Linked DNA regions of Rattus norvegicus. The protein of the gene in region 2 interacts with the protein of the main gene of each other region in a pairwise test. Links are inferred from orthologs where the notes say so. Each region holds a gene or a part of one and is shown on either strand. Other genes may lie near its edges.

Region 1 (3,582 bases), about 25 Mb from region 2:
TATGTTGGGAAAGACTCTCCCTTCCAACTAAGTTATATCCCCAACCCGGGTGGGAGGTGAGGGTGGGGGGATTGTTGTCTGTTTTTTTGAGCCAGGGTCTCACTATCTAGACTAGGCTGACCTTGAACTCACACAGACTTGAGTGCCTCTGCCTCCTGAGTGCTGGGATTAAAAGGCATGCTCCACTACACCCAGCTATTTTGATTTGTTTCGTTTGACAAGGTTTCACTATATAGTCCAAGCTGGCCTGGAACTCATAATCCTCCTGCCTCTGTCTCCTGAGTGTTGGAATTACAGACCTGGGCCAACAGGCTTCGGTTGGCATCTTTATTTCTGATGAATCCCTGCTCCTAGAACAGTTTTAACATCTTCACACATCCTCACAGAAACTGCTGTCTGACTGGATGCCAGGAGAGAACAGGATGCAGGGGATGGGAAGGGAAATAGGCAAAGAAACGCCTCCTCGTCCCAGGGCGCTGGCTCAAACCACAAGGACAATGAAAGGAATCTCTGTGTGCACGCGAGGCCAATATAAGTAATTTGCATAGCATTTACATTCTGTCCGCTTGGGTTACCCAGAAGCCTGAAGAGGAGGTAAGCAGGGCAGAGCAATACAGCAATACAAAAGTACAGACAAAACACTTTAATCTACCAGTGGCACTTAACACTGCACAGGGAGTCACAGCGCCCAGAGGCTTCTTCCAGTTCAGAGAAGTTCCAGAAAGATCTAGAGCTGCTGCTCCCCTGCCTGTGAGATCAAGGGTCAGTAGACAGAAAAAAAGCAGGGGCCCTGCTGTCACTCATAGATCCAGTTCTGCGCACAGCTCTTGTAGTCCACCAGCTCCTCAGGCTGAAACCACAAACTGATCTCCTTCTCCGCACTCTCCACAGAATCGCTGCCATGAATGATGTTCCTGGGTGGAGAGAGGGAATGGTGTTACCAAACGGGAAGAATGAACTTGCCCACAGCCCCTTGCACTCGGCTTTTGATAGCCGATGCTGGCCAGGCTCTCTGTTCAAGAAAGGCATAGCCACTGGGACCAAGCAAATATGGGGGACCCTCCCTCCAAGTCAGCTTCCACCTTCAGAGGCAAGAAGACAAAATTCATGTTTAAAAGTGACTGAAACCTGGTGCAGTGGCCAGTGCCTGTATTCCCAGCATTTGAGAGAGGGGTGGAGGTTGGGAGTATCAGGAATTCAAGAATAGCCTCAGCTACATAGCAATTTGGAGGCCAGCTAGCCTACTTGGGACATTGTCTCGAGGAAACAACTAAACTAAAGGCTGAAGAGACGGCTCAGTTTTAAGAGCACTGGCTGGTCCTCTAGAGAACCTGGGTTTAGTTCCCAGGATTCACACGGGGCTCACAACTATCTGTAACTCCAGTTCAGGGGACCCCAGTTCCTTGGGCACCAGTCATGAAAGTACACATCATGCAGGCAAACTATCCATACACATACAGAAAAGTGAAAAATAAAGATGAACTTTAAAGGCTAAAATAAAATGAATTGACCCGCAGATGATATCATGTTCATCTCTAGACTCAGAAGCCCAAATTCTTGTGGCAACTAGCTTAGATTTGGGAAAGGGGTGAAAAGCATCGATTCTTACCTGCCAACTTGAATGCAAAAGTCTCCTCGTATGGTCCCAGGCTTAGAGTCTGCGGGGTTGGTCTCTCCAAGCATCACCCGGCCTGTCTTCACAACATTCAGTCCCTCCCAGACCTCCAAGGACAACAGAAGACACAGTCAAGGAAGAAAAACTCTCTCAGTAGAAAACCTGGTAGCTGGTAATTCAAAACAAAAGGCTCTAGGACTCCCTCATTCAACTAGACAAACAGAATGCCTACTTATGCCAGTACTAAGGATGCTGGTCACCTGGCCCTACTCCTAAGATCAATTCAGATCCATCCAGGTGGCAGCCAGCAACCTTCTTAATGGCACTGAGGTTATCCCACCACCCCAGAGGTAGAGGCAGGTGGATCTCAGTAGGGCCAGCCTGATCTACATAGAGTATTCCAAGACACAGCCAGGGCTTCGTAGAAAGACCCTATGTTGGAAACCCCAAGATATCAGAGATGCCAGTGTCGTGGGATACCTGCCAAGGAACGCTGCACATGGGGTGTAGAACCAGCTCAAGACAGAAGTGTGTCCCAGTCAATACGGAAAGGAGCAGGAGATCAAAGCGCACGTTGGCATCAGACACGGCGATGCAGAGTGTGGAGTTTGTCCTGCTGGGTTTAGGTCTTGCTTTGGTTCAGGATTGCCTCACTTTCCTCCTTTTTGGAATGGCAATGTATGTTCTATGTCATGGTATGTGGAAAGGATGTGACATGCCTTTTCATTTTTATTTGACGGGTGACAGGAGGCCGCCTTGAGTCTCAGAAGAGACTCTGAACTTAGGACTTTGAAACACTGCTGATACTGATGGACTGTGGGGACTTTTGAAGTTGAACTGAATGCATTTTTGCATTAAGATTGGGCTACAGGTCTATGAGGCCAGAAAGTGAAATGTGGTAGTTCAAATAAAAATGGCCCTAAAGGCTTATACAGATTTGAATGCTTAAGCACCAGGGAGTGGCACTTCTTGAGAAGGATTAGTAGATATGGCCTTGTTGGAAGAAGTGTGTCACTTGGGGTGCGCTTTGAGTTTTAAAAGCCCAAGCCAGACCCAATGGCTCCCTTTTCCTGGGGCCTTCAGATCTGGATGTAGAACTCTCAATTTCTCCAGCACCATGTCTGCCTGCACACAGACGGGCTTGCCTGCCATGATGATAATGGACTAACCCACTGGAACTGTAGACAGCTCTAATGAGATGCTTTCCTTTATAAGAGCTGCCTTGGCCATGGTGTCTTTTCACAGTAAGAGGACAGTGACTAAGACTGACCCTGTCTCAAAAGACCAGAACAAATAAATAAAAAGCTAAGTCTGGTACCTCCCATACCTTCCCAGCCCTGGTAACATAACAGCAAACCCTGACATCATGTGCTCCCTGAGCACTTCTCACCCCATCCTCCTCTTACCATCCAATCCAACCTTCTTTCTGTACTTTAAAAAGCAAAGTTGTGTCTGGTGCGATGAGCCAATACACTCTCAGTGGAAGAATCAAAAGCTCCAGGGCAGTGTGGACTACCTGAGGCCAGCCTAAACTACATGCTAAATTTCAGGACACAAGGCTAGCCTACATATTAAGACCCTGTCTCAATAAATCATTTTTAGAAAGAAAGAATGAAAACAGATACCCATTTTGTCTCAAAACTGTATCTAAAGTATGTAGGAAGGGGCTTGACATAGAGATACCAAGCTCATTCTTGCTTAAGTCAGTGGTTCTCAACCTTCCTGATGCTGCAACCCTTTAAAATATAGTTTGCATGGGGTTGGGGATTTAGCTCAGTGGTAGAGCGCTTGCCTAGCAAGCGCAAGGCCCTGGGTTCGGTCCCCAGCTCCGAAAAAGAGAAAAAAAAAATATATATATATATAGTTTGCATATGGTGACCCCAACCATAAGATTATTTTTGTTGCTATTTCATAACTATAACTTTGCTACTATTATGAATCATAATGTAAATATCTATGTTTTCTAA
Region 2 (4,402 bases):
ACATTGTAGCTGTCTTCAGATGCACCAGAAGAGGGCATCAGATCCCATTACAGATGGTTGTGAACCACCATGTGGTTGCTGGGAATTGAACTCAGGACCTCTGGAAGAGCAGTCAGCGCTCTAACCACTGAGCCATCACTCCAGCCCCTAGCTGACATCTCTCCACTTAACATTCCTTATTTTTACTTAAAAAGAAATTCTGTTATATGTGTGGGTGACCATGAATGATGTCATATGTGTGATGGTCAGGAGACAACTTGCAGGAGGTGGGGGATATCTCCTTCCATCTTGTGGGTCTAGGAATACAACTCCAGTTGTTAAGGTTGATAGTTGAGCCATCTTTCCAGGCCAGGATGTTTTAGTTACTCTGTGACAATTTTTCCTGTTTTGAATCTCCTCAGCATTTATGTATCAGGTTATGTGGCACTTTGTTTTTCACAGGGCATTGAGTTTACTAGAATATTAGAATCAACTTAGGGCAAGCATGGAAATGACATGCCTGTAATTTTTGCACTTGGGAGGCGAAGGTTGGAGGATCAGGAATTCAAGGTCATTCCCGCACTACACGGTCAGCCTAGGATACAGGAGACCCTGTCTCACAAAACTTAAAAAAAAAAAAATCTACTCAAGCCAAGAACCGTGACTCTTGATTCTCCTACGGATGCAGAGAGTCAACACATGCGCATGGACACCAAAGCCCAGCGCCTGCGCACTGGGCAGTTTTTTTCCTTTCGGTCCCAACCCTCCCAGCCCCCCTTTGGAGTGTGCGCACCGAGAAAGACAAAGGTGGTGAAAGTGACCAAGCAGTCATTCCGGCGCATGCCCATCCCTAAATTGCCCAGGCTCCATGGGGGCTCACTTTGTGGAGGCGGAAGTCCAATCCGACGGAGCGAGCGCGGCCCCTCTCTTCCCTTGATTGGTTTGCTTCCAGTGTTGTGGGGCGGGGAAAGGAAGGGACAGGGACAGTGGAAGGTTGGAGCGGTACAGATAGAGCGCTCATCTCGTTCTGCGCAAGCGCAGAGACGCGACCAGGAGGGGGCGTGAGAGAGTGCAAGAGAATGTGGAAGCCCTGACGCGCTGGCGAGCGGGAGCTAGGTCGCTAGCCTAGACGCCTGCGCCTTGGCCCTCCGGCTCCGCGCGCGGCGGGCGGGTGCCCTGTGCGCCTGCGCAGTAGGCGGCGGCGGCAGGGGGAGGTGGAGGCCGTGGAGCGGCAGCGGCAGCAGCGGGTCCCGGGACTGAGGCAGCAGCGGGGGCGCCGGCGGGCGGAAGCTGAGGTGACGAAGGCGGCGGCGGCGGCGGCCGTTTCCCTCACGGTGGCGGAGACCAAGGCAGCGGCGGCGGCGGACGGGGAGCGGCCCGGCCCCGGCCCCCTGCTCGTCGGCTGTAGCAGGGCCGCCGTGGGGCCGGCCCGGCTCCCGCCCCCCGCGGCTCCCCCTCCGGCTCCTCCTCCTGGGAGACGCCGGGGGCCCGGCCCGGCCCGCACTCAGGGCTCTGTTTCAGCTGCTGCCGGGGCAGTCGGAGGTGGTGGCGGCGCCATGGGCGGCCTGGCCTCTGGGGGGGATGTGGAGCCGGGACTGCCCGTCGAGGTGCGGGGCTCCAACGGGGCCTTCTACAAGGTGAGACGGCGCGTCGACCCGGGACACACTCCTTAGCCCCCTCCCCCAGCCGAGGCAGGGAAGAGTGCAGCGGGATCGAGTTTCTGGAGCTTAGTCCTGACCCTTCGAACCTTCGACCCACGTTCCCACTCGAAACCCTCCCGGGGAGATCGTGGGAGTTAACCCTCGTGCTTTTATTTTTGAGCCCGCTATTACACCTGCTTTTATCCTCAGCTGAAGGCATGAACATCAGGTCATTACTATGCGTGGATGGGAACCCTGGAGAAACCCCTTTTCTTAGCTTCTAATCGACTTTTCTTGTTTTTTAGTGTAGGAGATACTTCAGCTTTTAATCACATCTCCCCTACAGCCAAGCACATGGAGGATTCCCTTTCTTTTCCTACATGACCCCCTTGTGAAGGTCCACTGTGCCATATTAGGTCTTCGGTCTTCAGGGAGGCTTCTTTGCCTACTGGCTCTAGAACCATTTGCTCAACTTTCATCTTACATTCCTGTTCCCAGTCTGACAAGAAATGGTCAGAACCCATTTGTTACTTTAGCATCTTTGGCCTCAGGTTTTATCAGCCAGCCAGCCAGCCATTTAGTGGATTTGTTGGACAAGTCTGTCACCTACCACACCTTTATACCAAAGCCAGCTCTCCAGGGATGGATTCGTGTTTTATCTCTTTGACTCTAGATGTATTTAGGTCATTCCTATATCTTCTTGGTAAGTTTAAGCCTCACCATCTCTAAAAGGCCATCTCCACATGCTTCTGTTCTTCTGATTTCTGCTTGTTGACAGTCTTTTTGGAAAGAAAAAAGTAGCTTTCAGAATTGCTTATTTCAGCTTTTTCTTTGTCCAAGATTTGATTCCTGTGAACTTTTTTGAGGGGTGTGGTTGGGACAAGATTCCCTGGCTGGACTTGAACTCTTCTGTACTCCTTCCTCAGCCTAGGGTTACAGTTCTGGGATTATAGATTGAGCCACCATGCCAGACCAGAACTTTTGTTTTTTCTTTCTATCCATTATCCACCCCATCTTCTGTATCTGAGTCCATTCTGGATCCCCTTCACCCCTAATTTAGATTCAGACTGATTCTTCTCACCCCTCAGGTATTTTCTTCATCTGATCTTGTGGGGTTCTGAACCTCTTCTGCATTTTTTTGGATGGAATTGTCCTGGAAATTTTGGTTCCTCTCTTACTCCTTTCATTCTGGAGAAGAAGAATTTTCATAGCATTAGATGGGAGATGAGATTCCTTTTTCCTTCATGTTTCTTCTGGTTGTCTGTCCCCCTACCCTAGTAGAACTTTCTACTTTCTCATGCCCTTGGAAATAACTTTGACTACTATGAAATTGTATCTTTTTGTAGCTGAAAAGGGACGGGTCTGCCCCGCCTCTGTAGGTGTTTCCTACCCCCACTTCAACTGACCCGTTAGTTACCCACTGTGAAGGCCATGGCAATTTCCCCTTTTCTGATCACGTTCTTCACCCAGTGCCTATGGGTACACATATCTCCTAGCTTTAATTTAGCCTCTCAATTAAGTCTTGGTACTTTTGTACTCCTGTGGATCCTCATTGAGGTCCACCTATCTATCCTTTGTATAGCTGAAGAAGGTTCCCTGTCACTTTCCTAACTCTTGGTACTTTTTTTCTTACTAGAAGAATGTCTTTGTAACATTTCTGTTTTCTGTAGCAAAAGTCTCTTAATTCCTTTTGGGCTCTGATGGGGCTCTGGGGCTCCTTTCCCCCACATTTGTATTACCTTTGTTAAAAGTGTCCTCAGGCTGGGTATGGTGGTGCCTACTCTAATCCTAGGACTTGGAAGACTGAAGTAGGATTGTTGAAGTTCAAAACTAGTGTGGAGAATGAAATCAGACTGAAAAAACAACCCAAACAAAACCAAAAAGTACTCTATAAGTTGTTAGTTCTATTTTTCTTGATATGTTAGCCTTCATCTGTATCTTTCTCACCCCAAAATGTTAAATTCCAAGAAAAGTGAGATATGTATATATATATCTATATATATATCTATATCATATTTTTCTTTTCCTTTTTTTTTTTTTTTTTTTTTCTTTGCTTTGATTTTTGGGGACAGGATTTCTCTTTGTAGCTTTGGCTGCCCTGAACTCAAACTCACTGAGATAGGTTTGCCTTTGTTGAGTGCTGGGATTAAAAGCAGCATCCACAACCACTCCTAGTTTGAAAAGTGATTCTTCAATTGAGTGTGAGATCAAGATAAGATATTTGCTTTTGGTTTAAGGAAGCATGGAAGCCATGCGCAGCTGGGACATGGGACAGATCAGTGCTCAGTTCAAATTAACTGTATGAAGTGGTTGCAAAGGGACATGTTTTCTGTTACACATATGGGTAGCAAACAGAAAGTCTCTTTTGACTTTTGTCATTTTATCCTATGGGCCTATGGGCCATAGCAGTGATAGATTTGAGTGAAGCAGAGACAGGATTCTTTGATAGTATAGAGTTAACAGTTGAATAAAAGCCAAATAACATAGATTTTGTGTTCTGGCCACTTCACTTTCTGCTCCATGACTGAGTAAAAGGCAATTCCCTAAAATTAGACTAATCCTTTTTAAACTCAGTGTACACTGTAGATACTTGCGTATTCCAAGTTGATTAATATTCATGACTCAGCAAACTTTGATGTGAGTAAGGGAGTATTAACTGTCTTTTAGATCTTTTTAAGTTTGGGGAGATCCCTTTCTCCTTTCAAAAAACTGTGTTTTACTTTGATTTTTTTCCTAGGGCCTATAGATACCAGATCTGAGGTCTAAGTTATTTTAGAACTATC
Region 3 (3,646 bases), on a different chromosome or scaffold from region 2:
AGTTCAGAGAGACGCTGAGGGGGACGCTGAAGAGATGAGAAGCAAAAAGTGGGCCAGGACTGAAGGATAGTTAACCCAACCAAGTTGTAGACATAAAATAGTTTAAACGGTTAAATAAGTTATCAGCTAGCCAGGAAGGAGCTAAAGCTTATAGCCTGGGTATTTGTTAATAAATATTTAATCTCAGAGTTGTCATCCCGGAGCAGAAATTGAAAGAGAAAAAAAACGATTATTAAATTATTACAAATGGCGTCTCACTTTCAGCACTATTTGTAAACGTATTCTATCCATTGTTCCTTCACAGACTCTGAGGTTAGTTATTATTAAATGCCTTGGCCATAAGCTTTGGTTCATTCCCTGATGAGCTCATGACTTATTTAACCCATTTAAACTATTCGATATCTACCACGTGGTTAATTACCCAGTCCACTTATTCCTTCTCATCTCCCTAGGTTCATTTATCTGCTGGTCTATGTCTCCTGGGTCTGTCTCCTGTCTCATCTCTCTTGGCTCTCCCTGTGTCTCTCTTTTATCTCTTACTATTCCCCGGAATCCTCTCTTCCTGCCAGTGTCCCCCCTCCTATTTCCCGCCTCAGCTCATTGGCCATCGGCTTTTTTGCTGACTCTCTCTACAGATATTCTACACTGTCGTGCACAGATTTCTCAACAAAATCCCTGCCATGACTCCTGGAGGAAGTAGGAAGTGGCCCTCTGCTATGGTGTCAGCCCAGCATCTGTGGCACCCGGGCTGACCAGCTTCAGCTCACGAGAGCTCATTGAACAGGCTCTTCCAAGCTCTGTCAGGGACACTACAGTGACAGCGTGCTTGCAGGCCAAGACCGAACATTTCCCAGTGATGAGCCAGTTTACCAGCTCATCACTGGGAAATTCCCATCTCCGACTCGGCGTCTTTAGATGTGGAGGGGTGTTCAGTGTGCTGCCAGAGTCAGGGGACTCTCCCATTGCCTGTTCTTAACAAAGCATTTCTACAGGTGCAGGAAACTGTAGACTGGAAAATGAGACAGCAGCCACCATGATGGCATATCACCAGGGGTGGAGGGGATGGGGGAGAGGGGCAGTGCTGGAGAATTGACCAACACTTCGGAGAAGATGGGGGACTTCTGTGGCATGTAGTCATGCTTTACAAGGGCTGTAGAGCAGGTCACTTTAGGCTGGCTTCTTGCCTCTCACTAAGGTCAAGACGAGCTGGGCATTTAGATTTTCTTTCCCAGTTCTACTCTTCCATGCCCTCAGTTCACCTGGATGAGGAAAGACGGTAAGTAGGACTAGCTACTGTTGGAATAGAAGCCGAATAAACCTACCCTGTAGCATGCCACTCTCAAATTCCCCCAGGAGTGCGGTGTTGAACACATCCCGAGCAGTTGCTCCATCTTCCCCCAATGGTTTATCATTGAGTCCTACAATATGCTGGTGTGGAGCTAGAGGCTGGGATGTACAGATTATTGCTTGTTCTCTGCCCTCACAAAGCAATCTGAGCACCAGAGAATCCCAGTACCTGAGCCAGGGATGGAAAAAAAAAAAAAAATGGAGGCAGCTCAGCTTGGCGGTGGGTCTAACACGAAGGCTGGAGATTGGTCATGATGAACCAGGCTTTTACGATCCCTAAACACGGCAGTGACGCAGACACACCCTGGAGAAATGGGGAGGGCAGGATCAATGGAGCCTCTGGGACCACGTTCAGAGGAGAGGTTTGGGATGGGATGGTGGGAAGACAGAACAGAAAGGGAGCTTGGTAATGGTAGCTTAGAAAAGTGAATGAGATCTTCCACAGTGCCGAGGAGGAAAATGGCCACATGCAAGCCTTCAGGGGTGTAAACACAGACCCACCCTCTTCTCGGGCTCTATTATGATGGCGTGTGTATCTTCTTCCGACACAAGGACACAGGTAGCATAGGACGACTTCAGCATATTGATCACCAGGTCATTGGAAAGTATGTCCAGCTTCTTCACTTGATCCCCAGTCACATTGGTTGAGCCAGCGATGCCATAGCTAGAGGGAAGAAAAACCACAGAAGATGAGCCCCATGAGGACAGCTTTTCTCCCTCTAGATTAAAGTTGCCGCCATCAAGGCCACTGCTAAATCAGAAGGGGAACGGTACTGACAGGAGAAGATGGAGCCTAAAGATGCCAATGACAGCCTCGCCTCGCCTCGCCTCGCCTCACCCCCACCACGTGCAAACCTCAGCTCTGTGAATCTCTGGTCTCTGAGTCTCCCTCTCTTCCCGGTGTGCACAGAAGGAATGGCATCTTGCGAGTGAGGCTGCCATTAGAAAACACACACACACACACACACACACACACACACACACACACACACACGGGGGGGGGGGACGGACTCAGCGCAGCCCTTGGCACCTCAGGAATACAGATGGGAGATCTGATTCTGAGGAGCCTTAAGAGTTGGGGCAGGCAAAGGTTTTGGGGCACTGCAGACAGGCACCTTCCTGCAGTTTGTCACAACTGTGTGGAGAACCTGAACCGGTATTGAGCTTCCAGTGAGAGAGACGAGAGACGAGAGACGGAAGCTACAAACACCAGCTTTGATAAGAACCCTTTTGTGGTGGATGACAATAGAGTGCCTGGGAAAAGGAGCCCTGGCTGGTGAGGCAAGAAGCCAGCACGAGGGGGAGGGGCCAGCTTTCCATCTCCCACTGGGCCCCACCTCTTAAAGGTACCACCACTGCTAGACACAACCGGCATACTGAGGGCTAGGCTCCTGGCACATGATCCCTTGAAACTTACACTGCAGCAAGGTGAGTTTGTGGGGAGTCTTCTTAAATACTACAAATAACTTTCTGGGAACCTACTGTGCTAGGGCAGCATTGCTGAACAGGGCAGACCAGACCCCTGGCCCCAGGGAGCTTAATATTGCTGTGAGAAAAGACAAATCAGAAAATGGCTGTTTCCAAATGAGTGCGATGGTGAGAGAGCAGCTATGGATGTCAGGTAGCAGGTGGGTAATTAATTTAGATGGTCAGAAAGGCACTCAATGCTGGACTTCCAAGTGCATGAAATTTAGAGTGGTTGGTTGGTTGGTTGGTTGGTTGGTTGGTTGGTTGGTTTTTGTGTTTGAAAGAGAAGATACCCCAAATCCCTGAAGAAGCCTGAATTCACCAATCAGCAATGACTACAAAGCAAAGTTACATAATCAATTCAGGAGAGATAGTCCGTTTTTCCAGAAAGGGGCTGTGTGCTGTATAAACATCCGTAGAAATAGCTTTTTAAAACTTTTGACGTCTTTCTCCCGTGATGACCAGATCCTGAGATGTGGTAAAGACAGTGGCCACTCAGCTCATTTTTCTGAGCATTCAGCTTCAATGTGTGGGCAGACCGTAAATAACGGGAGCCCTGGGACTGTCACCCTGCCCTGGGCTATGAGAGGTTACAGTGGTGTCAGCAGAGGTGGCTTCATCGGTCAAGCTCATACTCCACACTTGCTCCAGGATCTTAGAGGGCTTGACCCTGGGGTCACAGAGAAGCCAGTGTACAGGAAGTCAAGAGTCACAGAGACATGCTGCCTGTTCATGAAAAGACTCTTTCAGCCCAATTAACACTCAACAGGGTCTGTGCCGCCAAGGTACCAGTGTCACCCAACACCTCCAGGACTCCCATTCACCTTAGTGC

What was found. The genes of interacting proteins can lie anywhere in the genome.
Region 1: the proteins of Fxr2 (region 2) and Nme1 interact in binary tests that used the Homo sapiens proteins (3 or more experiments, as listed by UniProt). The link is inferred for Rattus norvegicus from reciprocal best matches to the Homo sapiens genes FXR2 and NME1.
Region 3: the proteins of Fxr2 (region 2) and Fbp1 interact in binary tests that used the Homo sapiens proteins (3 or more experiments, as listed by UniProt). The two-hybrid records come from large-scale screens. The link is inferred for Rattus norvegicus from reciprocal best matches to the Homo sapiens genes FXR2 and FBP1.

The regions. Positions count from the first base shown.
Region 1 is NC_086028.1:79,403,311-79,406,892, forward strand, and holds the end of Nme1 (nucleoside diphosphate kinase A), read right to left. Parts: intron 1,723-3,582; coding exon 1,610-1,722; intron 915-1,609; coding exon 797-914; 3' UTR 630-796; downstream 1-629. UniProt on the Homo sapiens protein: Major role in the synthesis of nucleoside triphosphates other than ATP. The ATP gamma phosphate is transferred to the NDP beta phosphate via a ping-pong mechanism, using a phosphorylated active-site intermediate.
Region 2 is NC_086028.1:54,848,153-54,852,554, forward strand, and holds the start of Fxr2 (RNA-binding protein FXR2), read left to right. Parts: upstream 1-1,516; 5' UTR 1,517-1,535; coding exon 1,536-1,616; intron 1,617-4,402. UniProt on the Homo sapiens protein: mRNA-binding protein that acts as a regulator of mRNAs translation and/or stability, and which is required for adult hippocampal neurogenesis. Specifically binds to AU-rich elements (AREs) in the 3'-UTR of target mRNAs.
Region 3 is NC_086035.1:2,223,690-2,227,335, reverse strand, and holds part of Fbp1 (fructose-1,6-bisphosphatase 1), read right to left. Parts: intron 2,012-3,646; coding exon 1,849-2,011; intron 1-1,848. UniProt on the Homo sapiens protein: Catalyzes the hydrolysis of fructose 1,6-bisphosphate to fructose 6-phosphate in the presence of divalent cations, acting as a rate-limiting enzyme in gluconeogenesis. Plays a role in regulating glucose sensing and insulin secretion of pancreatic beta-cells.